Linked DNA regions of Schizosaccharomyces pombe. Changing the gene in region 1 together with any one later gene gives a genetic interaction. Each region holds a gene or a part of one and is shown in the gene's direction. Other genes may lie near its edges. The genes, in order: dad2, ccp1, mad1 and med1.

Region 1 (6,995 bases):
TTGTATGGGGCCTTTAGATTCTTAAAGGTGTGTCTCTCCATTAAAAACTCCGTAGCCATACAAGTTTGATCCTCACTTTCACCAATTGAATCTCATTCCAATTTCTAGAGCGGTTCATATCATACAGTGTAAGCTAGAACCAGCGATCTAAAAAAAAGAGGATAAGAGTGAATTGATGAAATCAATTGAAGATCCAAAACTTTATTGTTCGCAGCGTTGGAGCGACCAAAAAGCGAACTTTCACAATTTGAACCATTCCATGTGCGAAAAAAACAGCATTATGAATTAATTTCGTTCCACTCAACCCTTTTACCATAGCATCATTCGCAAAGACGTGAATGGAAAAAATAATATTAGACGTCTACAAATTGGCAAAAGGACATTGCAGGTCATCAATTATTGAAGAAGGTAAATCGAGTTTTCATCGATTAATGTACTATCATTTATAACAAAAAACTCACAAAGTAACAGTAATATAACTCGTAAACTGGTAAATTGTCAATCGATTGGTTCAGGGAATTAGCGTCTATAAAGTATGAATACAAATGAAAGAAGAATATTTTTGGTAACTTTGAAAAGAGTAAAAATTTGCGTATTATTTAGCTGTCATGCTCCAAAATCTGTAGGTCGATCTTCAACTGAGGAAGTGATCTCCGATTTCCGTGTATCAAAGTGTCAGAAGACTGCTCCTCGCTAGGAATTAATTCAATCGTTTGATTAAAGGGAATTTTCTGCTCGTTACAACGACGTTTTAATAGTTCAACTAGACTTACTAGTTTTACAGTAGCATCTCCTTCAGCCACAAAAGAAACTTGTTTTTCTTTGACAAAAGAATCCCACAACTTTAAAGAAAGTTGCTTAGCATTTATACTTTTCTCTATTATCATAGTTTATAAGCAAAAGCCTGCATGGCGTTTAGTAGGCTAATAACGTGGTAGTTAGACAGGTGCTCCCAAACATTAATTAATAAATTACATAGTTGAAACAACATTTTACTGCCTTGTAAAAAGATGTATGATTTTAATCTTAAAGCAAAGGTATATGATATAACAAATTTAAAATCTTTTTCGCTATTTTTATTGTAAGTACCTCAGTTTCTTGCTAGTCTTAGAGAGTTCAAGCAAAGTAAAGCTCGATCAAGCTAATACTGACACGATTCAACGTCCTTTGTAACCTTTGGAAAAAGGACGAACACGAATCGTATACACACCAAAATGCTTATAAAATACGAACATGTTACAGAGCGCTCACAAATGTCTGAATTTTAAGAAACGTAACTATCGTAGATTGCATATAATAGGAATAAGTAGAAAAGAAGAGTAGATAGTAAAGTTAGTAAATTGCAAAGTTAAAGGCAATTTGCATCTAAGGCAAAAACTGGTACCAGGGGATAAAAAGAGGGAATGAAACAAAGAGGTCTTTGAAGATGATCATGATTGGAACAGTTTCGATAATATGGTAATTAAATGGAGATCCACATAATGCTCAATACTACGTCAATAGCCTCACCGCTCTCTTTGATAGTAGTCATTCCATCCTTTTCACAATTCCAGCAAGCAGCGTGAGCTGCGTGAACGCCTCTAGAAGGATGATCTTCGGGAAGCTTTTGTACAAGAGTGGAACTAACAATCCATTTGTAAGACTGGGTTTCCTTATTCAAAGCATTTAATACGGCATACTAAATGAGACATAAAGTTAGCTACCATACATAGATATTTGTAAAATAAAATGAACTTACAATAACAGATTGATTCATTTCAGCTGTTTTGTCTCCGTCATATTCGGAAGCCTTCAAAACCGGCTGAGCAGCTTCTAGGCAAATTTCTTCAAGTTTTTTGGAATCTATAGGCTATTTTCATAATCAAATTAGTAAACGAATCGCGTATTTGACGACTTACACAGCTCATTTCGAAATGGGGTATTTTGATGAGTACAAGGAGGGTACGCAGTGAGATAAAGACACCCACAGCTAGTACGACGTTTAACGGTGACAACCCCATCGATACAAAGTTCAACGCGAACATAACTCACGTTAACATTTCTTTTTATTGTTGATTTCTTTTTGCTTTAAACCTGAAGTTAAGTAAGGATTTTTCGCTTACAGCGAATCGTCAACTTCACGTTGGGATGAATGAGATAATTCAAATAAAGCATCAAGTATTGCTTTAAAGGAAAACAGCGTTTATTTCTATTTCTTACATTCTTTAATTAATACCAATTTGAAAACAGTTGATGGTTGAAACATCGATAATTGATTTCGAAAGAAATGCATAATGATTTTGGAAACCATGTCTTCCTCTAACCGTAATAATTGTATCGAAAAAACTCATAATTACACATAATTACTGGTGTTTGGATTACCAAAAGACATTAATGTGTGCTTTACGCTTTTAACAATACTCTTAGCAAGTCCAGTTTCAGTAATGAATTGAGTGTGTTTCTTTGAAGACGGGCCGAAGGAAAAAACAACAATTTAAATTCTCTGAACTTAAAGTGTATAGAATCTGTTTTTAGTTATCGAAATGTTAATTCAGCATGAAGGGAAAGCGATTGTTTTGCTGTTCATAGAATCCAAGTATCAATGTAGCGAAATCATCCAAATCTTTAACTATTTGATCATTGAATAAAACTACAAGATAATTTATGTTTAGTATTCCTACCATTAGTTCTTTCAATAATTTTACAAAAATGGAGAAGATCTCATCGGTACTGCGATACATAAAGATGCTACTACCCAAAGATTTTAAATCAATGATCCTTTCAATCCCCTAACCCTTTTATCCTTTTCCTTTTTTTTCTTTCCTATAGATTATTTACTGACTTTTATTTACAGGGACATTCTGTGATATAACGGTATTATAACTTGTTTAATTGTTATATAAATGTAAACGTTATTGCCGAAAACCATGTATAAAGTGCGTTATTCTAAAACTGTATATAGAATATAATAACATACTGCGCGAAATTTAATTGTGAGATCGAACAATTCAGTAACTGAGTATTTGGAGTAATAGTGAATTTTTGCGAAGGAAAATACTCGATTACCATGTAAACAAGGGTTTGATGTATGTTAAAAAGTTGTTAATTAGAAATGGATAATAGCCACTCTATTATAATTTGTTCTAAAAAAGTTGGGTATTCTTTAACGACCCGTTGGAACCGATCATTGAAGAAACTTCAATAGTGGATGAGACATTTTATGAATTTTTAAATTAGTCAAATACGGTTCAAATTTTAGAAAACATACGTGGAAGTTGCATCCTGTCTAGAATAAAAAATTCATTTCCTTATGTATCGGAACGTTGACAATCTTGTTGACCAAAAGAATATACTATCGAACCCAAATCTTAAAAGTCTTTTAAGCCCATTATACCTTGTGTAAAAAAAAATAAAAATAAAAATAAAAGAAGAAATAGTAGAGAATATGCACAGTTTTGATCCTCTTTAAAACTTTAGAGGGATGAAGCAATGCATACTTACTTAGTAAAATATGGATATAATAAGCTAGCTAAACTTGACCCATTATTTGAGTAATTATATTCACTATTCAACATAGTTTCCTAAATTCATTATTACTTTAAATTAATGAACTAACTAATTTATTAAAGATGAAAACAAATGGTTAAAATTGAGTAAAATCAATCATTATATTTTTTGTTAGTCTCTATTATCAACCTCTTTATTAGTAATACATTCCGAGATATAAAATTCCAGAAACGGAAATTATTTGTTTTAAACGTATAATTACAAAACCGAAATCGCCTTATATGGTGTAGGAGATAAATCTAGTAAATTTCGTACCTTCTTCTACAAACATTTGGCGTGAACATGCTTCAAGCAAGGATTGAGGAAAAGCAAAAGGAATACGAACTAATATGCAAACTAAGAGATTCTTCTAATGATATGGTTCAACAAATAGAAACGCTTGCTGCTAAATTGGAAACTTTAACAGATGGAAGTGAAGGTATGTTCATTACGAGGAAAGTATATAAAAGAGCCTTGTCACCAATCTGTTTAAGTGCTATTCATGTGAACAAGTATAAATATCATTACATTGAGAAAAGCAAAGAAACAAGTGAATTGATTGGATCTGCAGGATTGCAAATAAAAGCAATCATTTGCCGACATGTCTCTAAATGAACTTCTACCTCTCAATAATTCACCTAAACGTAAAAAATATAATCTGTTTATTTATTTATTTTTTCTATTTTCACTACTACTCATACATGCTTGACGACTCTTTTTAATCCATTATAATAAATGTTTGACACTCAAATCACTAACAAAATCAGCTGTTGCTACTGTTCTCAATAATTGGCCCAGCATTTTTGAGTCAATACAGATAGCATCCCAACATTCAGGAGCTTTAGTCCGAATTCCTCCTTCTACTTCAAATACCAACGCATCTGCTACGGAGCAAGGCGATGTTGAAGAGGTATAAAGACTTAAATACTCTTTTTAATTTCTCACTGAAGTAGAAAAGGCCAAGAATTGGTTAAAATAAATATTATTGTTCTGTCCATTTATTCATATTGTTTCTTCTATTTCAGAATTGGTAAAGCCGACAGCAAACCCAAGTTCCAAGTATCTTCACTTCCTAATGAAATGGAGAATGAGATCACCTTGTAAACTAAATGATATCTAAATTTTTCATTTGGTCATTTTCTTTTGGCGTTCGTCCTGTTTCGCTTGTTTGAATACTCCCAGCATTCCCTTACGACAATTAATTTCTTCAAGGACAAACAATTTATTCAGGAGTGATACTATTGTTATGTAATCAACAAATATCGTGGTCCGATGCCCGATTTTTTAAAAAAAAGTTAAACTTATTTATCTTAACCTTCGCCAACCTCTCGCCATCTGCCACTTACCTTTTTAAAAATATTTCTTAGGAAATCTTGTTGATCTTCCGCTAGAACTTTTTTAAATAACCAATAAAAGGCGCTTTTGCTGGTCCATTAGTTCCATTTGTCACAAATCTGCTTTTTTTACGCAGTTTTACATCTTTAGGAAAAATCAAATAAATTTTGTCAGTTAGTATTTAATATGCCTGTTGATATCAGTTCTCTTTTGCATGCTGGGTATTCAAACCCGTTGCTTCGTGAATGGCAAGGTGTACGTCCCATTACCAAGTCATCTCTAATGTATCCTATCTTCATTTCCGAAATAGATGATGCTAAGGAAGCCATTGATAGCATGCCTAATCAATTTAGATGGGGTGTTAATAGATTGGAAGAGTTTTTGGGTCCTCTCGTCAAAAAAGGTCTTCGTAGTGTAATTCTGTTTGGTGTCATCGAGTCCAAAAAGGACTATTGTGGTAGCATGGCCGATTCCGAAAATGGACCAGTTATTAAAGCCGTTAAAGAAATTCGTCACCTTTTTCCGGAGCTGGTTGTTGCTTGTGATGTTTGTCTCTGCGAGTATACTGATCACGGCCACTGTGGTCTGTTATATGAAGATGGCACTATCAATAATGCTAAATCCGTTGAGAGAATTGCTGAAGTTAGTGGAAATTATGCCTTGGCAGGCGCTCAAATAATTTCTCCTAGTGACTGCATGGACGGTCGTGTTAAGGCGATTAAGCAGAAACTTGTAGAGTTGGAACTGTCTCATAAAGTATGCGTTATTTCCTATTCTGCAAAGTTCGCTTCTGGTTTTTTTGGTCCTTTCAGAGCTGCTGCTAATGGTGCCCCAAAATTTGGTGATCGCAGCTGTTATCAACTTCCCTGTAATGCACGTGGCTTGGCCAAAAGAGCAATTCTTCGCGATGTTAGAGAGGGTGCTGATGGTATTATGGTAAAACCGGGAACACCTTATCTCGATATTTTGGCAATGGCTTCTAAGCTAGCAGATGACCTTCCTATTGCTACTTATCAAGTTTCAGGCGAATTCGCCATTATTCATGCTGCTGCTGCCGCTGGCGTATTTGAATTAAAAAGACATGTGATGGAAACCATGGATGGCTTTATGCGTGCTGGCGCTAACATAGTTTTGACTTACTTTACTCCTGAATTATTGGAATGGCTAGAATATTAAACAAAAAATAATGCGAAATCAATCATCTTCAAAATTATCATGATTGAAAAATTATTTTGTTTATATTCTTTAATGGTCTAGAGTTTCACTTATGAAATTGTTTTTCGAATCTGCGATTACCGGTTCTTGTTTATTAAAAATTTTCGTTTATAATCTGTAGCAGTTATTTACGAAAGAAATTGTTTTTCTTTCTTTTAAAATACTTTAAATTCGTGTGTAGAACAAGATTTTATCTTAGACAACCGTAGGTTGCCAAATTATCGTGATATCCTATTGACTCCTTTTGCAAGCGATGAACGGACATGTTAAAAATTTAATATTTAATTTATATAATTTGATAGATTTGTCTCAATACTTCATGGCAGTTAGAATAAAGTAAAGTACATTATCCACGTTTACTGACTATAACTTTCTAGCATGATAAGATAAATTAAATATTCACTATACTTCACCCAAAGTAATTGGAGCATGTTCTTCTCAAACATCTTTTACCTTATGAGTCAACATTTGGTAGCTCAGTGAAGCTTCTGACTATTTATGTATATATCGATATAACTTACAATGAAAAAGTATGACAGCTGCAAATGATTCAAAAGTAAAATGCAACGACAAGGAACATGCTTCTACGCTCTTCAATTGCATATGATGCATAATGCATTGGAGTAATAATATGAATCTATGTATATAAGGTAGGACAACAATTAGTACTAATTAGAATCAAAATCTTCATCCTCAACACGTTCAAAAATTTCAAAATCAAAAAGAATGCCAACAAACACAGAATCTCATCTAGTGAGCATTTTTTTTTTGAACAACAGTAAGCAATGTAATTTAAGCAGCCGGGATTAACGTCACATTACGATTCCGGAAGAATTAATTTAAAGAAGGAATCGTATGGACGTATTATGTTGCAAATTGTAAGCGGATATTTAATAATGGGAAAAAAATAAAAAAAGTAT
Region 2 (8,204 bases), on another chromosome or scaffold:
TCGTAGCGTACCCCATTACGCCTACTGAGAAGTTCAGGAGCTACGTACAAAGCTGTACCGACACCTGTTGTGAGATCTTCATCTGCTGATTGGCGATTTTTCCATTTGTCATTGTTATCTTGGTAATTTTCATTTTCTGTAGCCAAGCCAAAATCACCAAGCTTTACATTTCTATTTTCGTCTAAAAAAATATTTCCAGGCTTAAGATCTCTGTGCATCATTCCCCGACTGTGAATATATGCCAAAGCTTCTAAAATTTGTCTAAACAACCGCCACATTTCATCCACAGGAATTTTATCTCGTATGATATCTTGCAATGACAACTTTTCACAATATTCCATTTGTATGTAGAGCGTAGCATTCAAACCATTTTCTTGTGTTTTAACTGAAGAAGCTTCTTCAATGCTGCTGTCTTTATCGGAAGAACCTTCTTTATCTGAAGTATTAGAATACTGAAAGGAGATGTCAGAAGCTTCAGGGTCTTCCTCGTCTGCAGATGAATTATAATCATCTTCAAAGTGAATATCGAGGCTAGAAAGCTTATCGGCTGGAAGACTTGAAGATTGCCGAAAGTCCACTGCCATATTTAAAGATTGACTCAACGACTCACTATCGGAGCTAATTATCTCAGTTACAGTATCATTAGCTTCAGTTTCAACCCAAGCAGTATAATAACGCACTACATGTTCATGATGTAAACGAGACAAAGTCATAACTTCACGTAAAATTCTGCTATTCTCTTTATCATCGCTCAAAAGGACAAGCTTTTTAACCGCATAAAACCTTCCATCAATTCGATTTTTGACTTTAACTACTTCACCAAAACCGCCACGTCCTAAAAATTCAAGTTCTTCAAAATCTGTTTCATAACGTGAAACGCTTTTCCTGTACAACAAATCAATAATTCCATCCTGTTGACCACCATAAGAAGGGCGTGCAGATTTTGAAAAGGTACCCTGCTCAACTGGAGGAAGAACTGCTGTACCCAAACGAATGACATGACTACTTAACAAGTCAATGGCGCTAGGGCGTTTCCTTGAATCGCGCATTAAACAGCGACGAACCAAATCTTGATAAGACCCCGGAAGAAGAGGAATTACATGAGTCATAATCAGTTTTAGTGAAGAGAATTTATTCAAAACGTGAGCTCCACAAAGCATCTGCAATACTAATAGTCCAAAACACCAGATGTCAGTTTTTCTCGATGCAGCTGCAAATGATGACTCAGAAACCTCTGGGGGATACAGCCCTTCCGGTAGAATATTGGTAATGGATTGAGAATTAATGTTAAAAGGATGAGATGCGTTCATGTCTCGTAAAGTGCGTGTAAACCCAAAATCCATTAGCTTTGCAAAAGTTCTATGGCCTGAATGAAAAAGCACCACATTGTCCAAGTGCAAACTTTTGTGTGAAATTCCAAGACGATGCAGCTCAGCTAAACCTTCTAAAATATTGTTTGAAAAAGCTCTAACGGTTTCAACGTCTAAAGTAAGGACGGTTTGTAAAAGACTAAACAGAGTGAACTTCGGAGAATATTCTTGCAAAACGTACAACCTCCAACCATAACCTCGTGTCTCTCTTTCCAGTTGATACTCATAAATTGAAGCTAGTAAATCATGCCGAATAACTTTCAGACTTTCAAGTTCATATTCTAATTCCTGTATTTCACGTTTTCCGTCTTCTGTACTCCAGTAAGGCGTACTAATTCGGACGGTTCTAAGTAGAAAAACACAATCCTGTAAAGATATCTCTTTAGATTCAGGCTTGACCAAAGTCAAAGTAGAAAGGTTGGAATGCGAGATTGTATACAAAGGAAGCACTCTATTAAATGTAACCAAAGAATCGTGACAGTCTCTAACGGATATAGAACAATCAAAATAAATAGAAGTTGGGAGGGTTTCGAGAGAAGTTGTTTCCTTACTATTCGTCTTTTTCTTAGAAGAAGATTGCGGTGTTTCGTATGAGCGGCGTTGTAATTCATCTTGAATTTTGTTCTGAAGCGTTTGTTCTTCCTCAAATAAGGCATCTTTCTCCCGTTTTAACCTAAGTTGTAAATCCACTTCCGCTCTCTCTCGATCATGCTTTAGTTGTACCGCACGTTCCTCTTCCAAGCTAGCAAATTGAGAAGAGAGGTCAGACTGCCAATCATTAAGATAGTCCTGCACTATACTGGCAAGTTCAAAAATCATTTCCTCTCCTAGCAAGTCTTTTGCCTTTGTATCTAACTTATCAAGCAAAAATCGAATCTGAGAGTTTAGGACATTTTCTCCATTTTGTAACTTGATCACTGGTTTCACATAAGGATAGCTTCTTCCAAGCTCAATACAAAGATCAAGTTTCGCAATACTTTTAGAGTTTGCACTTCTTGAACATAGATGTATACAATAAACATGGCCGTTTGTAACCTAAGATACCATTGTTAGTAAATGGGTAGTGAACAAACATTAATCATACATTCCAAGCATTCCTAACTTTCAACTCCTCAAAATCATCCATAAAAATGGCTTTGAGGGCCTCAATTTCATTTTCTTGAATTTCCTTGCATAGTTCCAGACGTTTCGCCGCATCCATGAACAGCTTTTACCAACTATTGTTGCCAATAATTTACTAGTTTAATAGGAAGCAAATATATTTATTCACAATTAAACTGTTGGTTGAAAATTCGTCCTGTGTAAACTGGAAGGAAAGAAAGCAAATCAGTTTATATCAGGACGGCAATATAGGACTTGAAAATATAATTATTATCAATTCTATTTCTTTTCTTTCCTCTGAATTGGATTTTTAGATAAATTGCTTGTTTGCCGCGAATTTGCTGGAGGAAGAAGTTTCTCGCTCGTGGTATACTAAAGATGGAAGAACGCAGTATACTGGTATTGTAATGAGTATAGATTGATTTGAGCCGAATAAATGCGATAATCGGCACGGATCATACATTCTTTAGTTAAGATGTAATTTTGAGTTGGATAAGATGAATCAGACTTCAGATCTTCAATCGATAACGAACAGTTGGATATAATGATTATCTGCATTTGTATGCAAAGCGCTTCATTGTTTGAAGTGAAGCGGTCAAAAAGTTTTAACTTTTAATCGCGTTTGGTTAACTTTTCTTCATTGTTTTACCATAATCATGGATTTTTGATTAAACTACAAAGACATACTTCATAACTGATAAAATAGATACACCAGTAAACTATAACAGCGTTTCATATAATGCAATATAATACAAATTTGTAGTTGCATTCGAAATGTTATACCTTTTTTCCTCCTCTCCTTTCTTCATCATGGTCAGGAGAAGTTTGGAAAATGCAAGCACGCTAGCCTGAAAGCTCGAAACCGCGCAAACTACAGTTTATTTTCTAATTTTACTCTTTGTTCAGACTAATAAGTTATTACACTTATAAAAACAACCTATGAAAATGGTGTGAGTTAAAAACTAGAATCCTGCTCGATTACTAGTAATATGGATGGTTTGTATACTGTTGAAAAAGTCAAGGTTAAATTATTGCAAGCTACAGAAGCTACGGCAGTCATTATATTGGAAAGTAAAGCCTCTGATATACTTTGCTAGCATTGTTCATCGTACGTAAAAACGTGGTAAGGGTAGTGCCTTCATCATCGTTGACGAAGTGAGAATTTTCGAATTACTATTAGATTTTTCTCCCTTGCACGAAATTAACCTACAAAATGGAGGCAGCTCAAGCTTTTGAAAATCTCGCAAACCTAGAGCAAGAGTTTGGAAAAGCAGAAATCGAAATATGTATGTTTAATCGATTTTGCATTTTTGTAGCATAAAATTACGTTTTTTATAAAAAATGTGTTAACAATTGCTAATGTATCTTGGTGCTAGTGAAGAAACAAAATGAGCTTTTTCAACCGCTTTTTGAGCAGCGTCGTGATATTTTGAAGACCATTAACAACTTTTGGGTAGTAGTTCTGGAAGCTGCTGGGGATGAAATCAGTATGTAAAATTGTATACTATTATTGTTTTTGTTTAAACATTGTTGAAATTCTAATTAAGTTATTTCAGGCCAGTACATAACACCTGAAGATAGTGTGTTACTTGAAAAACTCGAAAATATTTATGTTGAAAGGTTTAATGAAAAGGAACCAAGGGATGTCCGAATTTCGCTTACCTTTCAACCAAACGAATATCTTCAGGACGACAACCTTACCTTGGTAAAAGAAGTGAGAATTAAAGAGGAAAAAGCAAAGGATGATGAGGGTTTGGAAAAAAAGATAACCAAGTATACTTCGCAACCTGTTGATATACATTGGAAACCAGGAAAGAGTTTATTTAGAAAAAATAAAAAATTACCTCCTAATTTTTTTGACTATTTTCAATGGACCGGAGAGGAAGAGGACGATGATTTTGATGGAGCAACACTCACAATTTTTCTGGCAGAGGATCTTTTTCCAAATGCTGTAAAATATTTTACAGAAGCCATGACCGAAGAAGCGAGTGATGAGGATGAGTCAGTAGATTTGGAGGAAGATGAGGAAGAAGAAGACGAAGAAGACGAAGAAGGGGACGAAGAAAAGCAAGGTACGAAAACAGGTCTTAAAAAAATAAGGCGAAAGCATGAATAGATGATATGATAGATGTCAATGTATTGTAAAACTAACACAAAAATCGCAGAACCACCTTCCAAAAAGTCCAAGAAGTCTAATTAATTTAAGGAACGAGAACACAGACATGAAATTTTTTTTGTCTTCCCAAAGCTCGAGGTTACCTATGGAATGATTGGTTATTCGTTTATTGGGAAGATGGTTCAAAGAATTAAATAATACAATATAAAGATTTAGTTACAGCACAATAACCAATACCAACAATGCAATTAAGATGATAATGAGTACGGTAATACAACATCCAGATTTAGAGTCTGCGCTTGCAATCGTAAAATCTTTCAACCGCTTCATACCCCTGCGAAGCTTACTATTAGTGGTCTCAATGGAATTGTCAAGAGTATCTAACAAGTCAGCCTGTTGACCCAATTCTTCGCCCATCAAAGCTGCCTGCCCACGAATGTTTCCAATCGTGTCGTAAACCCCGTCCAGCATTACGTCTTGTTGCTGATAAAGCTGCTCTTGATATTGTCGATTGACAGCATGATCTTCTTCAGACAAACCAGCTGAGGCACCATTGTCAACAGTATAAGGTTCTGTAGAAACTGGTGTGCTTGGGGCAGCACCCATCTTTAACTGTATATTGTTTAACTCAATATCCAGTTCCGAGACAAATCTCCTTCTCGACTTTAGTTCTTCTTCATCTAACCCAAAATGCTCAGAATTTTTCATCGCTATTTCCACAGCAGCTTTTAAGTCCTTCAATGTTTCGCTTAACTCATCAATGGCGTAAGTAAGCTCAGTATTTGGTGAAAGGACTCCAGAGTTTCGTGCGGCCATAAAAGAATTGTAAAGCTTTCGCACTTGCTCCATTTGATTTGATGCATCCCTATATTTCGAATAAATGTCAGTTAAATAAAATCTTAAAGCAACAAAAGGAATCTATTAAGACATTTCTGGTTCATCATTGCACAACTTACGCTTTGACTTCATAAAAGGGGTCCTCCATGTTGATGATGTAGAGATATGAGCCAATTTTCTACTTGGAAATGCTTTTATAATTTAAAGAAAAATAAGATAATATAAAATAAACGAAGCAAATTCGTATTATCAGGTATGCTGTCTGCAAATACTAAAGTACTGTGCTGATTCAGTCAAGTAACGACTTTACGATAGATAACGCTACCTAACTGCTCACTCAAAGATCACCGTAAACATTGAGTCCTTACAAAACAAGTAATGGAGAATAAATAAGAAAGCAATATCTCAATCTTGTTGAAAAAACAGCAACCTCCCCTTGTCACTATTTTGTTTTGATTCAACCGTATTCCACCGTTGTATGTTAGATTAAATGTAAACATCTAGGTAAATAAAACGTTTTCAATGGCCAAAAGCAATCTTTCATTCTAGCCTTTGTGCTAAAAAATTAATTCTATTGCTAAAAACCTAAGACTAAATGTTTTAAGAGAAACTGAACACAAAGAAAGTCTTGTGAGCTAAAACAGTACGCTATATATCGCTAGCTTGATGTAAACAAAAGACGCGTAGACACTATTAACATGTTATCAAGAACCACAACATGTCTGAAATTATAACGTCTTTGCAAACAGAGCTGAGCAATCGCCATGCTAACATGGTATCTGAAGCAGTATTAGCATTCAGTGAGCATCATGATAGTGCATTGCATTCATATTTTTTGAATGCACGTGTCAAGTACGTCCATAAGTTTCTTCAGCTAATTGACCCAACAATTCAGAGACGTGATTTTAGAAAGCCTAAGAACGACAGAGGAGAAGCTTCGTGCTTTAGATAAATTACAGCTGGATGCTTCGAAAAACCTGTCAAACCTGTTGGTGGAATATAATAGTATAAACGCAGAATTGGAGTCCGTCAATAGTAAGATCTCTTCTATTTCTTCCCAAGAATATGCATTGGAAGAATTTCAGGCACTTTCCCAGAATTTTGAGAAGAATTTAGTTCAGCATCGTCGTAATTCCCAAAATAAGCTCAAATGTGCAATGGAGGTAAACATAAAAACAAATTATATTGTCATATTACTAACCTCAATAAATTTAAAGAAACTAAAGATGATTGAAACCTCAACTCATAAAGCTATTCTCGACAATTTTTAAATTTCAGAGATCTAATGTCATACTGCCTCAAACCAAGCTTGATAATAACGAAGAAAGTCAACTTTCATCAAACACGCTGACATCGTTATATTAAGGTCTAAATGAAACGGCGCTAAATTTGCTTCTGAGCTCTATGAAACATACATAAAGAAAAGATGTTTAAATGCGTAATTTCTGATAAAGTTATTCTTCTTGGATAGCTTTTTGATATTTACTACAATTGATATTCTAAATGACTTATTATCTTATTCTCTTACGTTAACGAAGTTTAAAAAATTTATTTTGCGATATGCAGTGAGTTTTCCACTTCCACCGGTAATCATATTCCTTTGATCAGTATAAGTTACCCTTTTGTTTTGACCTTATCTCCTGAGGCAACTTTCAACACCATTCTAGCGGGTACTCAACTTTTTGCTCTCGAACATAGTTTAATGAATTTTTATCAAATTGAGTATGGACGAGGATGAGACGACTTATCCAGAGGCTTTGAGACGCTTACTCATTGAAACGCCGGCGGCAATTTGGCAACTGGACGATGAAAGTGCGCAGTGCAATAATTGTGGTGGTCCTTTTACCTGGTTTCGGAGAAGACATCATTGTAGATGGTGTGGTAAACTTTTTTGTTACAATTGCTGCAATAGTTTTGCAAAGCTTCCTGTGAGCAGTGTTTCAGTAGATCCAACTGAGGATCTTATCCCACAAGACATGTTTATTAGAGATCCTGATTTTCTTGCTAATGATAATGATGATGATAATGATTCACAAGACTCTTCATGGATCAATGTACGAGTTTGTGTCAATTGTCGTCAGCAATTGTCGGAACTAAAAGAACTGGATTTACCCTATCCTATCACTACTTGTTTGAACGATGATACCACTACTCGATCTAACAATCAAGTTATACAGTCTTCCTGTGGAAACAATTTGCAGAGGATTGAAGAGCCTGATGATTTTGTTGAATGTCCAGTTTGCTATGCTCCTCTCTCAAGTTTTAAAACCCTTTCTGAACGGGAATCTCATGTTGCGAATTGTCTAAGTAATAATAGTTCATCTCCAAGAAACATGACTGAATTTTTGAAACACGCTAGAAGATACATAAGTATGCAGCTATCAGAGACTTCTCCTTGCCTGGGGCAAGAATGTATTATATGCTTTGAAGAATTTGCTGCTGGTGATAGAGTTGCAAGGATAGAATATTGTCTATGCATTTTTCATTTAAAATGTTATCGTGATTGGCTGAGTACTGGGGCTGCTGGTTGTCCTGTTCATGCCGCTACACTGCATTTATCTTAATATCGTTCCAAATTACTTCTAGGTTTCTAATTTCGGCTTCGGTTGCTTTTGCATGATTAAATTGCTGTCTTCTCTCTCCTATTATTTCTAGGTATAGGCATCTAACATTGTATCATTACTTGGTTATTTATTTCAGTTATGCCCTTTCTTTTCGAATTTGTTTTTCTTGCATTGTAATCATACATTGGGATGTCGAATTTTTATACATATACTAAT
Region 3 (8,005 bases), on another chromosome or scaffold:
TTTATCTGACTTGCAAGATGCGGTTGTTCCATGCAAAAAGCAAACTGGTTATCACCCATGGATTGCACAATCCGGCACGCTAGTAGCTGATTTGCTTATGTGCTCTGGTGCTGACCATATAATCACAATGGATCTTCATGATCCCCAATTTCAGGGCTTTTTTGACATCCCTGTAGACAATCTTTTTGGCCGACCATTACTTAAACATTACATTTCTCTTAATATCCCGAATTATCATAACGCAGTAATTGTATCTCCCGACGCTGGTGGTGCCAAACGTGCTACTGCTATTGCTGATGCTCTGGGTTTGGACTTTGCTTTAATTCATAAGAATCGCCGACATGAATACGGAACATCTTTGATGCTTGTTGGTGATGTACAAAACAAAGTCGCCATCCTCATCGACGATCTTATTGATACCGCTTACACACTAGTTCGAGCAGCAGAGTTTGTCAAAGAACATGGAGCTAGCAAAATCTATGCTCTCGTCACTCACTGTGTTTTATCAGGAGATGCTATTGAGCGTGTAAAACTTTCTTGCATTGACAAGCTTATTGTTACAAACACCGCTCCTCAAACTATTACACCAAGTGGATGTTTTGACATAATCGATGTCGCTCCTACCTTTGCGGAGGCAATTCGTCGCATACACAATGGTGAGAGTATTTCAATACTGTATGACCACAATCAAGTTTGGGTTTAACTGTACGTTGTTCATATTATTTAATTTGTTTTGATCTAGTTGGCTTAAGACTATCCGATTTTTTTTGATACTATCAATTGTCCTTTTTCTTTACTTTAACTTTAGACAGTTACATTGGAAATAATTATTATTTACTTTGAGTTGACAAAATGATTATCAAGCTAATTTCCTAAAACTAATTTCAACTTAGCTAATCTCTAGTGTAAAACTGCTAAATATAAGGTTCTTCACGACCATTATATATGTACAAGCTATGTAGAAACTATATAGGCAGTCTAATTGCACGATTTCGTCATGTTTCATACAAAAAGCCTAAAATTGTCTGGGTAATGAAGCTTGTAGGTATTTCTATACATTTTAACAGTATGTACGCATACTGGTTAGACGGAAAAAAGATGAACAATAGAAATGGTGATAAATGGAGGAGCGAATCAACAAAACATAACTATATTCAATAATTTTTCAAACGTGGTCGGGAAAGGACGAATGGAAAAAACAAAAGAATGTCAGTATAAAAGAACATGGTTATCACATGATTAAATATAGTAAACAGGCAGAAACGACAGGAATTACAAGGTTATCGTCAAGACCCCACACATCCATAGCTTCTGCAAAGGCACCAATAAATCCATTTATCAAGCAAAGCCAAGGGAAAGGAATTCTGCTTTGAGCGGCCAAGCTGTCAGGACCGGTACGAAACAAGCCCCAGTACACATAGCAACAAAAAACACCACAAACGAATGCGCCCAAACTTCCAGCCAAACTCTTATTTTTGGCAATTTTCGGGGTATACTTGCCCCATTTTCGACCAACGGTTGAGGCAGTAGTGTCACACCATGACAGTAAAAGGACACTCATTACTGCTATCTCCTGAACTTAGTTAGTAACTATGGCATAATATATAAGTAAAAGAAGAAGGAAGGTGAAGTTAGGAAAAGATCAAGCAAGGCAAAGTAGATTTGAGTAATCATGATCAAAAATACTAACTTAAACTCTATGCAACAACAATATGCTTGGTCTGACAAATACTTAGAATAGAAAATCATTCTCCGTGAAAAAATGGGTTCTATAGAGTAGTATGTCCAGTAAAAAACAAAACCCTTCGGATCGCCTGGAACAAGGAAAACCATATCTTCCTTTTTCTTAAAGAATAATAACAGTAATGATAGACATTACAATGACTTTTACTTACCTCTGGAAAAACTTTTAAAACAATCCATACCCCGATCATATAAAAAATAACACCATTCCATGCATTTTTTTCGGACTCTCGCATCAAAGGACCAATAACGCGATTGTAAAGGCGGCTGAAAGCTGGCCAGTTAAAACGAATTACATCTCCAGTAAATGCAGGTATGAATCCAATTTCTATAACCGGTATGATTTGAGCAGCGTGGTATCCACATCCCTGAAGTAATAGAGCAAAAAATCCTAGACCCGGTTAATCCAAGTCATAAAAACAACTTACCAATAGAAGTATGGAGTGCTTTACGGGGAATTTCATGCTTTTTGGACCATTGCGACCACGTCAATTTAGTCGACATTGGATGAGTATTCGCTCAGTAGTGTTTTCCAATCTAAAGGTATTTCTAATGGGTAAAAAAAAAATAGCGATACCGGCCGTGATGCAAGGAATCGGTATATGCGAGGCAAGGAATGTTCTCGCATATAGCTCACTATTTTTTTATCGTTGCACTATTCCTCCTTATTCCGTAAACATTATGAGCTAAAGTCAAAATTAATAGAATGAATGACTTCCTGAGAGTCCCAAAAGAAACCGATTTATTTCCTTCATCAGTTGGAAAAAATTTATTTATTTATCACTGCCAATATAAGAGCTCGACTTCCTAGATGAATAGCATAGCTTTGAAAGTGATTCGCAGGATGACTCAGTATCAAAACGAATGGGTTATACACTATATGGCTTTAGATGTAAATATTCTTTAGATGATATATTAAGAGAATTAATAACTGCATCGACATACAGCCAATGCAGAATCATTTATAAGTCACTGAACCTTCAGAATAGCGCAACGTGGATTTCGCTACTTTACGAAACTTTAGATGCTATTGTGAGCTCTTACGTTTCGCTTTTTGTTGTCAAATATGGGAGAATTAATTGAAAATATAAAGACAATTCTCAAGTACGCGAAAGTTTCTATTAAAAAGTAAAATGATAACTTGAATATGTATGCTAATAAAATTCCTAAAAGAAACTGAAACCATTTTAGAGCTTATATCATTGCCAAGCAATTTTGAAAATTAAATGCGAAAACCATTATTCTTTAGTTGATGAACTAGAAGTAATAATTTTTATTTAATAATAATAAGTCTGCTCAAAATCAGGTTTATTTTCAGTTATTGGTTAATTGTTCAAATTGAAGTTTTATTAAAAAAAAAAAAAAAAAAAAAAAAAAAAACTATTATAATTTATGTTAAGACTACGTAAGTTCCTTAGGGTACGCGATTTGGTCTAGCAATTTAAATAAATAATAATAATATCAATATAAAAAAACTAGAAGACTTAAAAGCTTTTATGTTCACACGTGCATCGAAAATTGATTAAGGAATTCAACACATTAAATATATAATATAATAATAACAAGGTCTATGATTTAAAAAAAAAGAAAAAGTAATAAGTTCCATTAATTTAGATATCATTAAACAAGTATGTTGTTTGAGCATATGCAGTCAGTCCTACCTTTCTTTAATTCCCTGATTTCAATAAATTACTGAGATGCAATTTGTCCTCCATATTGTCAATATTATATTAAAGAGGTATACCAAAAATCAATTTCTCACTATGAGCTCCAAGCTGACAGTGTATCAAGCGACTACATCCATGGCGGATTCTCCTAGGGATCCGTTCCAATCGCGTTCACAGTTGCCTAGATTTCTAGCAACAAGCGTTAAGAAACCAAATTTGAAGAAGCCTTCTGTTAATTCTGCTAATGGTATGTGAAACTTATATTTGACGTTTGTTTATGGATCTGACACCCTGTAGAAACAAAAAATCCCAAACTAGCTTCTTTAGAATTTCAACTAGAAAACCTAAAAAATGATTTAAAGCGGAAGGAACTGGAATTTGAGCGTGAACAAATTGAGTTGCAAAGAAAACTTGCAGAAGAACATGAACAGAAGAATTCGTTACAGCTGCGTCTAACTCTAGTTGAAAAGCAACTGGAGGAGCAGTCTACTTCTTATCAAAAAGAAATAGAAGAAGTAAGAAATGAAAAGGAAGCCACTCAGGTGAAGATCCATGAACTACTTGATGCAAAATGGAAAGAGATTGCAGAGTTGAAAACCCAGATAGAAAAGAATGATCAAGCTTTAAGTGAAAAGAATCATGAAGTAATGGTCTCAAATCAAGCTTTGCAAATGAAGGATACCAATCTTACAAACCTTGAAAAACTCTTTGCGGATTCCCGCGAACAGCTTGAAACGAAGTGTAAGGAACTTGCGGCTGCCGAGCAGCAATTACAAGAGCTTTCAGTTCATAATCAGCAATTGGAAGAGTCCATCAAGCAGGTTTCTAGTTCTATTGAACTGGAAAAAATAAATGCTGAGCAACGTCTTCAAATTAGCGAGTTGGAAAAATTAAAAGCTGCGCAGGAAGAACGAATTGAAAAGCTATCATCCAATAATAGGAATGTTGAAATTCTCAAGGAAGAGAAAAACGATTTGGAGTCCAAACTTTATCGTTTTGAAGAATATAGGGATAAGGTTGCTACCCTTGAACTCGAAAATGAAAAAATTCAAACTGAATTAAATTCTTGGAAGAGTTTAATTACTAACGAGTTACCAACCCCTGAAGCTGTTTCAAACAAACTCGTGTTTCTACAGAATACCAATGCTAATCTCGGAGAGCGCGTTTCTAGTTTAGAGAGTCAATTGTCTAATAAGCCTGCAAACCAGCCGCTTGGTGCAAATGAAAAAGACGCCGCTCATATTACCGAACTTGAAACAAAGCTTAAAGAACTTCATGAGCAGAACCGACGTCTACAAAGACAAAAATCTTTGGCAACCCAAGAAATTGACCTTTTAAGGGAAAACCTTAAAAGCTATGATGATGAGGAGGCGATTTTGAGTGAAAAAAATACTGATATGAAGAAGTTGGAAAGAATTGAAGGTCTGGTCAAGCTGGTTGATGAATATAAGCTAAAGCTTGAAAGTATGCCTGTATCTCTTGATGTAGATGAGACTTCAGATGAGGTCTCATTACAAAAGAGACGCAGGAAAAACGAACATAAAGATGCTGGTTACGTAACGGAGCTATATCGTAAGAATCAGCATTTGCTTTTTCAAGTTAAAGAGAAAACCAACATTGAAGCCTTTCTAAGGGAGCAGATTATTACATTGGAATCCTCCATAGCAACTTTACGTCAAGAACTGGCACAAGTTACTGAAATAAACTCATGTCGAGTATTACAGCATCGATCCAATCCTACTTTGAAATATGAGAGGATTAAAGCTGCGCAATTGGAGATGCTGAATGCTGAGAACTCAGCTTTGAAAGCTCTTTTGGAAGATAAAAAGGTTGATTGTCTACCTATACAATCATTTAAAATAGCTGAAAGAAAGGCCTTGGATTTAAAGAAAGAAGTAGCCGAGAGAGAAAAGAGAATTCAACGGTTAAAGGAGATTTTTTCAGTAAAGTCTTTGGAATTTCGCGAAGCTGTTTTTTCGCTTTTTGGATATAAGCTCGATTTTATGCCTAATGGGAGTGTTCGTGTTACATCCACATATTCTCGTGAAGATAATACCGCTTTTATATTTGATGGCGAATCCAGCACCATGAAATTGGTTGGTAATCCATCAGGCCCCGAATTTGAGCGCCTTATACGATTTTGGTGTGATGAACGCAAAACAATACCAGGCATGTTAGCGGCTCTAACGTTAGAGCTTCTTGACAAAAATGATTGATTAACTTACGCCTTAAGCATCATCTTACAGGCGATGAATATGTACACTAACAAATACGCATAATCAAAATGTGAAAAGTAATACTTTTTTATGAAATAGATTGTTTAACTAATAATATCAATATATCCTTCAATGTCGATACAATGAAACTGTAAACAGTTTGTACTGGCCTAAGCGCTAAATATATTTCACCATTACAAACTAGTCAAAACTGCTAAACCATTTTAATCATCTTACGAATTCATACGCACAATAGAAATTGTTGAATACAACCTTCAAAATAAATTTATTTTTCGTTCTCAAGTCATTTAAGCTGAAGCAGCCGCACGAGCTAGACATTAATGTTAGTAAAAAGAAATCAAGAAATGTAAATCACAGAAAAGAGACTTCTTAACATGTACTAAAAAGTCTCGAATCCAATCAACTTTAACATACTGTAAATCGCTTGCTTGGAGTGTTGATCAACTTTTTGAATGACACCACGCTCGGCCAAATCACGAATGGCGATACGAGCAAGGGAGCCGTTAATCTTCATACGGTCAACAAGAACCGAGACAGAAATGAACTTGAAGGCAGGAACTTCCTTGTTGATACGGTCAATGATGCTCTTGTCGAAGACAGTGGCATGTTGAGCCTTGTCCTTCACTTTACCCTTAGACCATTTCTTCTTAGGTGCCTAATAATATGGAATTAGTACTCAATGCAAATGGTATAATCCACACTTACCATTTTTGATGAAGTTTGGTTTGTAACAAGTTTCTGGTGTTGCTTTGAAGTCCAAACATTTGTGACTGCCTCTGGGTAACAAAAATTTACCACCAGAATTCGAATCAAGTAACAAGTATCTAGAGCTTCTAATGAGACTTAGGTAAAGTAAAAGAGGTGTAGCCTTACTTTGACTTGGACTTCCAAACGGCATCAATAATTGCAATTCAACTGAAATATTGAACAGAAGGATGCTGGGATGAAAGCTTCTCTTCTGGTTCCACGGCGGGCGCTGCTATTCGGTCAATTATTACCGCCCAAATATTCTTGGTATAGTGTCAAAAGATGGCAGAGTCAATTGACATTTCGAAACAAATCCAAAAGAAACACGAATAGAATTATGCTTTCGGTAGTTTCTTCTTTGAATCCTGATAGTCTCATAGCCCCTTTACTATGCGTTTCTCTCGATAATCGAAAGTACCTTATTGGAAGCATGGGAGAACTGACTCAAATGAAGTTTCGAAGTCAAGCGTCTAACTATGGAGGGAAATCTGTCAGTGTATTTTTAATGCCACCTAGTTTACAATCCCTGAACGCTTGGGGTATAACTGCTGGCCTTTTTGGCTACTTACAATCCAGTGGTATACAAAACACTTGGGGTTTGCATGCTCCCAAACCTGTAATTTCAATTATTAAAAAATCTCATCATCTTTTTTCAGGAAGTCCATTACGACTCGATCTTAATTCATTCTCAAGTGAGGATAATGCCGATGCTACGAATTCTTTTTACTTAGATGAGCCGGAATTTTGTACGATTAAAGGGAATATATACTCCAATTGGTCTTTTCTTTCTTTCAACAGCAAAGAGGCAGCTGGAGTGTTTAATGCGGACAAGGCTTTAGCTCTAGGAGTTCCTTTTGGCCCATCAAACGGCAAGTTATGCGCCGGTGAAGCGGTGTTGAGCAAAGATGGTACTACATGGATTTATCCTCATCAAGTAGTGGGTCCTCCTAGGAAGCGTCAATACTTTTATGTTCTCGGTTGTTCGAGTCTTTCTGCCCTCAACCAAATGTCAAAACATGTAGACTCATTCTCAGACGTATATCCCACTTGTATAATTCATATATTAGAAAAGGGTATTTGGGGGCCAGAATATATCAAATTTTTATCTCACCCAAAGTTTTCTCGTGCTCAACATTTCATCTCGTGTATCGAACTTGCCAGTAATAACCCTGTTTTCCAAAGAAATAAGGGAAGAAATGTTTTGCCAGCCTGCCGTGATTTTGCTGCCTTCGATATAAAGCCTTCCACTTTGGATACACAGACACAATTGCCTGAAAATACTTATGTCCTGAAGGAAGAAACATCGATGGTTCTTTATGATGAGCAGTGCAAGATTTCAGAGAGTCCTTCGTATAGTCCGGTGAAGCTGGCTAAAAAATTTAGCTCGTTTAATCCTTTACCCTTTGAAAATGAAGGATACACGCTGGATGTCTTAGGAACTAGTGCCACCTGTCCTACTTGGCGTAGAAGCTTAAGTTCTTACTCAGTCGCAATCGATGGAACAGTCATCATGCTGGACTGCGGCGAGGGAGCCATATCCCAATTTTTTCGCCAATATGGAACAAATACTGAGCCAATGCTTCGGAAACTAAAAGCAATCTTTATTACGCA
Region 4 (7,814 bases), 2.2 Mb from region 1:
GTACGTCAGGGGCATCCTCGTGTTTAGCTTTACTTCCTTTCTTCATACGAGAAGAACTTCTCGAAAAACTCAATCTGCTAAAAAAGCCACCTCTTGAAGATCTACCTTCTTTGTTGGAAGATTTCTGTGATTTAGACTCATTTTGGACAGTATTCCCATGTTTAGCTTCATGGTTACGATGCCCATCAACGTTTGTCTTCTGAGAAACCGCTTTAGGAGCAGCTTTCGGATCAGGATTTCTACTGTCGGGATGAACTTGAGATGATGTAGTAGTATTATTGTGATTATCGGATGAAACAGGTTTGTTGTTATCGAAGACAGAGGGGGTAGCAAAAGAGTGTGATTTGGTTTGTGATCCTACATGTGAGTGATTATTTTTAACATTAGAAAGGGTTATTTGACTATGGGGGGAAAGTTCTTTGAAAAAAGAATTGGATGTCTTCAAAGGGGATTGGATTGTAGAAAGATTCTTCGATTCTGAACTTGATTTCGTAAGGGATCCAGATATATTTGCTTTAGGATGTTGGTGATCAGTGGAATGACCTATATTAGGAGGAATAGTTGGAACAGGAGGAATTCCAGACTTATTTCCAATAGAAGCTGCTCTGGGATGTGAAGTAGAATGGAAGTTAGTATGACGCCAACTACCGGATCTCTTTGGAGCCATTGAAGCATGGTATGCATGGTTCCCCGAGGAAAAAACGCTAGATTGTAAAGGAACGGATGATACATCTTGTGTAATAGATATAACCCCACTCAAATGCCCCCCATTATTTTGCTGATTCCAATCACTAGGCTTTGATGAACGATTATAATATGATAAGGAAGTTCCAAAACTCTTAGAGTTCGATATTGAAGATGTCCTATGATGTGAAGAAGTATTCAACGACGAAGGATTGTTCTGCTGAGATGACTCGAAATCGATTGGGTTATTACCAATACTTATGTTTGACAAACGGTGTATGGAATTCCTCGGACTGTTTTTCTGTCTATAATCGTGATCAAAACTACTTCGGAGTAAACCATTGCCAGTCGAGTGGTGTATAGTAATAGCATGATTATCCATAGATGAACCAACTCCCTTTGGTTCAACATTCATAAATAACTCATCTTTATGCTCTTGTTCCGGAAAAGAAATGTTCGTATTTGAGGCATTCGTCGAAGGACTCGTATCTGCTGCTGTACTGCTAGAACTCTGGCGGTTTGGACAAATATCGTTGGAATAACTACCAACGGCAGAAAGTTCAGATGGGTTTAATAGTTCAGATTTTATTCCGAACATGTTTGCGCTTTTCCGGTTTGATGTATGAAGTTTAAATAATGCATCCGTATTTTCGTCGCCCAGAGAAACCGCTTTTTGGGACTGCAAATAGCCCATTTGCAAACTTTGCTTCAAAAAGCCAAAATTCTCACTATATTACGCTTTTACTGGCTTTTTTGAAACAAAATATTGTTTCTATAAGCTCCCTCCTTCAGTTACAGTCTCTTATCTTCTTTAAAATGCAAACTAGTAGCAGTACGTTCGTGGCTAATTAAAGCCGCGCTACACCCTGCATATCAATACCAACCACTTCTGAAAGGGCACGCAAGCTGTAAATGAAACATAGAACGCTTATTGATTTGTGCACAAATTTTACCAAAAAGAAAATATTTTATTAAGATTTACTGCATATATATTTTGATGCTTTAAAAAGAGTTTGAGTGAACATACTTTGGGTTTTTTTTAGTCCAAGGTTTAAAATTGGTTTTCATTTGTATACATATAAAATTCCCCATAACTACTGTTTTAACCCTCGTTATAAAGATAAATCAATCACACAGACCTTCCCATTGAAACTAAGTTTTAGGCGGTTCAAAATTACCTACTTGTTTTTGCAATTAATGCGTTTCTAGCAAATAGTTTGATGGCAGTAAAGGCTTCCTTTTTGCAGAACAAATTAAATTGCTCGCTGAACAGACATAAAATTGCGCTTATATACAGTGTTTTAAGCTGATTAAATACGAAATACACGACTAATTTACTAAATCTTCTTTAATAATCTTTTCGATGGATAGACCACATCTCTTTTCTGAAGTTCATTTCCGTCGAAACGCCTCTAACCCCAATCAGATTAACTGGACGCGTTATTGGATTGATTGTCTATCATCAGTTCCTTGGAATGATATCTCTGTAACTGGATTTGAATATTTGGCTAAAAAGTATGGTCTGGAGGTTTTTCAAGACTCCTCCAAACCCAATGAAGTGGTCCTCAGTTTAGCTGGAAAAATAATTTTGATCGACGTAAGTTTAAATCCTGTACATAACCGTTTTACTAATTAGTATCTAGATCACTGTTCCCATAAATGCGTCTCCAAAAGATATCAACGTTGTTTTGGCTTTTGCAAACGCTAGTGGTGAGCAATATAATAATCCTGTTGCAGAAAAATTACTTAAGGATGCAATTTACAATTGCAATACCCCACTATTTGAAAAGAATGTCAAATGGTTGGCTACCTTTGATCACTCCTCTCCTTCGGTCCAACAAAGTTGTTTCCAATATTTAGACTCACTATCCTCTTCTTTAAATGCTATTTATGAAGCAGAATTATCTTTGCTAGCACAAGAAGAAAATGTTATAATGCATGGAAACGGAAAGCCTCTCAGTAATTACGAAGGACAACTTGGTTTGCGTATTGTATACTGGAAGCTTTTGGATAAAACCTATAGCACTCAAATTTTTATGGATAATTTGTCTCATGAGTCGCTACCTCACTTGTTATTCGGATATAATTTATTAAATTCTCCTCCTATCCTCCAATCATCAAAAATTAATTGGGCACTTGAAAATACTTTGACACCTATTCCTACAACAATGGAACTAGTTTTTGATGATATCAATTTAATAATACCAGAGCAGGGCGTCAAACCTTTACTTGATTTGCTTCATGTCCATGACATTACCATTCCTTGGCCTGTCCAAAATTATAGTCATATGGTAAGTACTTTCCCTAAATATCAACTTAACTAATTTCACCAGCTTGGTTTACCTTCAAAATCAACCGTGAACTACAAATTCATTAATAAAAATCAAGCCATCCAGCTAACAGGGTTCGATGTTTCCGCACGTTCTTTGCGTCACGTACCGTTTCATCATCCCAAGCAAATTCGAGGAATACTTGCTATTGTACGCCAATATTTATTATTACAATTGATTTTGGAAAATATCAAATCAGCAGATTTAGCAGAGACTGCGGCATCTTCCTCCCTTCACCTCTCTCTATATTTTAAGGAGCATCCGATCGTTCATGCCCAATATCAAGAAATCAACAAACTGAATAATTCCGAACAAATTATCATTGTTCTATCCGTATTGTCAGATGGAAGACTGAATGTTGATTATATGTCTAGTGGTGGCAAAGAATTGTCAAAACAACAGTCTCATGTTTTTCAAAAACTTATACAACAAACATGTAACATCGGACTTGCGATAGAAGTGTTTATAAAGAAAGTCGTTAATTAGAATTTCATGCTAGAAAAAGACATTACTAATCAGTTTTAAAAATCTTTAGTAAAATGAAATTATGGAATTAGTTGGATGTTTTGAATAGTATAAATTGAACACTTTAAAAGGCTAGCCTATTTTACAAAAATCAGAACACTTTAATAGATATATTCAACTTACGAGAAACTAATTTGCTAAAACTTGAAAGAATCAGCTTAATATTTTAGAGAACAGGATTGTAAGTTATTCAATTCTCAAAGCACAAATTGTGGTAGAGAGTAAAAAGAGGCCGTTCTTATTCGTCGTCGTCTTCTTCTTCTTCCTCCTCATCTTCACTCTCAGATTCGTCACTTGCTTCAGCCAACCATGTCAAAAAAGGTTCAGCAGCTTCATGAATCTTCTTACTAGTTTCACGGCTCACATATTTCTTGCTAGCCTTTGCTCCCCATTTCTCAAACATGTCATCAGAGACCAAGTCATTCTGATAAATCTCCAAGAGTACCTTGGGAACAACGTCGATGTGCACTAATTCAGTGTTTTCCATCAAACGTTCAAACCCACCAAGAAGAGCACGTTCATGTTTATCTGTCGTGCAAAGCTTTTTAAACAATGCACCATGCTTTTCAAACTCCCCAACGTAAGGCGAAGTAATAATACATTGAACTAGTACAACAATAGCTTTACTTTTATGATGAATATTCTCTTCCTTCATCTTTTTGTAAATTTCAACATCAGAAACACCAGGGTAGTTGTCTTCAAGCCATTCACCGAATTGATCATAACGGCTAGATTCCGCTTCTTCCTCGTCGCCACGTAAGTCACTCAAAGTGAGCGAATCTTTCATATTACCTTCTAACTCTTGAACACGAGCACGAACAGCTTCTTCACTGGTATCCACAGCCCAATCTTCGTCATTTACGACCTCAGCGGTAGGGAGTTCCGCGGCTTCTTGACGAATTCTACGAGTGAGTTCGTCTTCAGCACCATCTTCTTCCTCTGCAACAGGAGAATCCCTTTTATGTTTGTGGGACTTCTTTTTTGCAGGAGGGTTCTTGACGATGACACCAGTAAGCTTGTGACGACCGTCAATGACACCACGATAGCCACAAGCTTTACAATCATAGGAAATTGTCTGATCCTTCTTATTAATGCTTAATTCAGTTTCCGGATTTTGACAAGAAGCGCATAGCACAAAACGGCGGATAAATACATCCAACAGATCTTGAAGCTTTCCAGCATCATGAGCACCGTTCACAATGTAACGGTCCATGTCAGCAATAATGGTGGTTTGGGCGCCCAACTCAAAACCAAAAAATTTAGTTACATACAAAGGGGGTCTTCCCAACGCCTTAGCGATATCGGACATGTTCGGGATTACAGTCTTTATACCATTTCCCTTGCCTTCGATTTTAGATTGCAGTTTTGGCATTCTATAACGATAGAAGCTATCTTTGACATCACGTCGGATGTTAATGGTTGCCATTGTTATTACAGTCTCGATGATTTTTTTAGGTAATATAAAAAAATTTGCTCTACTTTATGTCTTTAAAAAGCGCTTAGTGCTTGTGACTTATTCTAAAATTTGAAATATCATAACAAGTCACTCTTTCGATAAAAAATCCGTATTATCTTTAAAATGTTCCTTTTATTTCAGATGGCCAGTCCTTGAACGTTGATTAAATGCACAGTTTTGTATTTTAAACGATGTCTCAAACATGAAAGTCCTTTGGTGATGGTTTTCCAAAGGTATGTGTCAAGGTAAGGTGTTTGGTAAAAAACAAAAGTTGCAGCCACAACTTTTTATTATTTTTAACCCACTCCAGTCACGTGCCCTAAGATGAGTAAAATTGTCATTTTAACGCCATGACGTTAAAAATCGTTATTCGTCTTTAAAAAAAATCCATATTTTGTAAACACAGCATTCGCATAGAGCTTCATTGTATACCAAACTGTTAGACCTCAATTTTCCCTCTCTTTAAATTCGAGATTTCTGATAAATTTACTTGTTTGATGTCTCATTTCTGTTCCAAGGATTTCGTTTCCTAATAGACCGATTGGAAAAATGTGTAAACATTTCAAGTTTTTAGCAAAAAATCTACTAAAAGTGTCGGGTAGCAAAGAAACATAAATTAAAAGAAGCTTCGTAAAACAATTTTCGAAATCGCGAGTTAGTAATGTGGCGATCTTAAGGTCAAGATAGGTATTTACTATCCCGTGTTACGAAACTTTGGTTCAATATACTCTAGGGAGAAATATCTAAAAATGTCTTTTTCAGCTTCCACGGGATCCTTCCACTCATTAAATTCGTCGGGACATATGTCTTTTCCTGTTTTAAGATTTATGATTTCGAACGAATCATAGCTTAGACCCAAATGAGAGTTAGCATAAAGCTTCAAATCGCGAAGAAAAAATATTCCTCCACTCCATCCTAATACGGCAGAGCCTATGTATGCAGGCGGCACTACTATAATATCAACACGCCTATTGATTTTAGAAGAATTTGACAAAATGACTGCTAGCATTACATAACCTTTCTTTCCTCCGCAAGAATGTTCCTGAACAGAAATTAGTCGGAATTGAAATTCCTCGTCTAAAATTCTTAAGAGAACATCCACCAGATGTTTTGTAGAATGAGTATGTGATGGACTCAACACCATATCAACGTCCGCTCCAACAGGCTTTCCCCGACGAAATCCACCTACTAGACAAGACTGAATTTTAATTCCATCCGGCATCCGTGAGACAATAGTTTCATAAATCTCCGTGGCTTCCTCAATGGTTACAGTTTTACAAAAATCTTCATAAAACTCCAGACCAACTTTTATTTGTTTGGTAAATGAATCTTTGTGCTTCCTAACTTGTTCAATCGTACGCCAACCCTTTTGGTACCATTCAGCAGCATGAGAAGCACCAACTCCGAAAATATTGTAAAATAAAAGCAAAATTTTTGAAGCCGGATCCTTCTGAAATTCCTCAGCTTCTTTTAAGGTTCCCGTTGATGCAAACTCTTTCCAAAGATGTACTATTTTGGGCCCACAACCGGGCATTTTCTCTAATTGTTCTGCGCTATCGATAGGCAAGGGAAAAGCTTTAATGGTTGCAATCGCCATTCCGTATGCCCTAGTCCTTACTGATTCACCGTTTACTTCTCTGCATGTTTTCAAGACACTTAAAGCATTCACAAAGGCTTGATTGACACATTTAAGCGGTGTCTTTCTCTGGCACGCATACCGTGGAATTTCAAGAACGTAAGGGTATTCTTTCGTAGTCGGATAAACTGATCCTTCTTGATCAACATTGTCAATGCTTTTAACTTCGTTATTATTTTCTGTGTTTGGAGTTTCGTGGTTTTCAAAATCGTTTGGTGCTTCAGTGTGCGAAGCAGGTCTTGTTGAAGGTGTGTACGGCGAGCCAACTTTCATCTCTGGTTTTCGATGCCATATCACATATGGATTCCCGGGCGTTAAAGATTCTTTAGGCTCGTTAAGCCAGTCAATTTTAACAATCAACTTACACGATACACACGTCTCTAACGGTGTTCCAATTGTTCTTAGCTCTCGCCGAACTCTGTTAATTTGACTGTAATTGACAAAAATGTAATCCGCTTTTGCTGCATCGTTTGTGAATTCTCCTCCAAAATTTACAATTTTTGATCGCGCATCTTCATATTGTGAATTGGACAAGCGATTATGTAGTACATAATTTGTACTGCTTGCAAGAATCTTCATTTTGAACAATTACAACTAAGGGAACAAAAAACGTATTGCCTATTAATTGACCTTGTAATAAATTTCGAGGTTACCCAATTCTTAGAACAAACTAATATGGAAAATAAAAACAAGCTAAAGGCACAATAAAGCATCTACTAAGTTACAAAGCAATGATAGACATGATGATGAAACCGACATGTTTTAAGGTAATTTTATTTTAGAGCAATGCAACTTTTCCTTATGTGCTAATAATGACACATTAAAAGGAATAAAAAAAATGTTAATAATACGTAAGCAAACTACTTTTGAAATTACACTATCATACAGTTTCTTTATTATTTCTGTGCTATTGTTTAAGTACTATTGCAAATCGCTTTGCATTCTATCCAGTTTATCGCAATCATTTGCTTGTAATTCAACTTATCCCAAAGAATTCTTTAGTTGTATCAACAGTTCTACGGTGAAACTAATAATTCAATATACAAAAATACTACACGTTAAAGCATTCAAATAAGAATAATTAAACGTGATAAAATTTGGCTTATTTCTGTACTCCATTTTGTAACGTAACTTTTCTTAATTTTGCAGTTCAACTATAAGTTAAAGTATTTGTTGCACAGCA

What was found.
Region 2: mutations in dad2 (region 1) and ccp1 together harm fitness more than expected from each alone (negative genetic interaction), as found in Schizosaccharomyces pombe (3 studies listed by BioGRID, with this or other methods).
Region 3: mutations in dad2 (region 1) and mad1 together harm fitness more than expected from each alone (negative genetic interaction), as found in Schizosaccharomyces pombe (3 studies listed by BioGRID, with this or other methods).
Region 4: mutations in dad2 (region 1) and med1 together harm fitness more than expected from each alone (negative genetic interaction), as found in Schizosaccharomyces pombe (3 studies listed by BioGRID, with this or other methods).

Annotation. Positions count from the first base shown.
Region 1 is NC_003424.3:2,782,982-2,789,976, reverse strand, and holds dad2 (DASH complex subunit Dad2), read left to right. Parts: upstream 1-3,684; 5' UTR 3,685-3,828; coding exon 3,829-3,964; exon of another isoform or gene 3,965-3,995; intron 3,996-4,292; coding exon 4,293-4,441; 3' UTR 4,442-4,818; downstream 4,819-6,995. Other genes in the region: protein Pop6, read right to left, coding at 600-887; dynein light chain Dlc1, read right to left, coding at 1,463-1,678, 1,739-1,849, 1,899-1,907; porphobilinogen synthase Hem2, read left to right, coding at 5,047-6,036. UniProt on the Schizosaccharomyces pombe protein: Component of the DASH complex that connects microtubules with kinetochores and couples microtubule depolymerisation to chromosome movement; it is involved in retrieving kinetochores to the spindle poles before their re-orientation on the spindle in early mitosis and allows microtubule depolymerization to pull chromosomes apart and resist detachment during anaphase.
Region 2 is NC_003423.3:2,391,042-2,399,245, reverse strand, and holds ccp1 (CENP-A histone disassembly chaperone Ccp1), read left to right. Parts: upstream 1-3,664; 5' UTR 3,665-3,684; coding exon 3,685-3,757; exon of another isoform or gene 3,758-3,847; coding exon 3,848-3,958; exon of another isoform or gene 3,959-4,027; coding exon 4,028-4,543; exon of another isoform or gene 4,544-4,636; coding exon 4,637-4,671; 3' UTR 4,672-4,803; coding exon of another isoform or gene 4,804-5,452; 3' UTR 5,453-5,543; coding exon of another isoform or gene 5,544-5,572; 3' UTR 5,573-5,677; exon of another isoform or gene 5,678-5,688; intron 5,689-5,739; 3' UTR 5,740-5,774; downstream 5,775-8,204. Other genes in the region: eIF2 alpha kinase Gcn2, read right to left, coding at 1-2,405, 2,455-2,571; tlg1 (SNARE protein Tgl1), read right to left, coding at 4,804-5,452, 5,544-5,572; protein mug20, read left to right, coding at 6,143-6,276, 6,320-6,587, 6,642-6,695; pib1 (ubiquitin-protein ligase E/phosphatidylinositol(3)-phosphate binding protein), read left to right, coding at 7,149-7,988.
Region 3 is NC_003423.3:1,272,600-1,280,604, reverse strand, and holds mad1 (mitotic spindle checkpoint protein Mad1), read left to right. Parts: upstream 1-3,531; 5' UTR 3,532-3,545; coding exon 3,546-3,657; exon of another isoform or gene 3,658-3,707; coding exon 3,708-5,626; 3' UTR 5,627-5,766; downstream 5,767-8,005. Other genes in the region: ribose-phosphate pyrophosphokinase Prs5, read left to right, coding at 1-703; phosphatidate cytidylyltransferase Ptp4, read right to left, coding at 1,232-1,573, 1,896-2,134, 2,172-2,247; rps2501 (40S ribosomal protein eS25), read right to left, coding at 5,935-5,957, 6,062-6,302, 6,353-6,355; 3'-tRNA-processing endonuclease Trz2, read left to right, coding at 6,591-8,005. UniProt on the Schizosaccharomyces pombe protein: Central component of the spindle assembly checkpoint. Has a role in the correct positioning of the septum. Required for anchoring mad2 to the nuclear periphery.
Region 4 is NC_003424.3:536,348-544,161, forward strand, and holds med1 (mediator complex subunit Med1), read left to right. Parts: upstream 1-1,562; 5' UTR 1,563-2,047; coding exon 2,048-2,281; exon of another isoform or gene 2,282-2,327; coding exon 2,328-2,975; intron 2,976-3,017; coding exon 3,018-3,500; 3' UTR 3,501-3,665; downstream 3,666-7,814. Other genes in the region: DYRK family cell polarity protein kinase Pom1, read right to left, coding at 1-1,378; translation initiation factor Tif5, read right to left, coding at 3,778-4,965; pol4 (DNA polymerase X family), read right to left, coding at 5,690-7,210. UniProt on the Schizosaccharomyces pombe protein: Component of the Mediator complex, a coactivator involved in the regulated transcription of nearly all RNA polymerase II-dependent genes.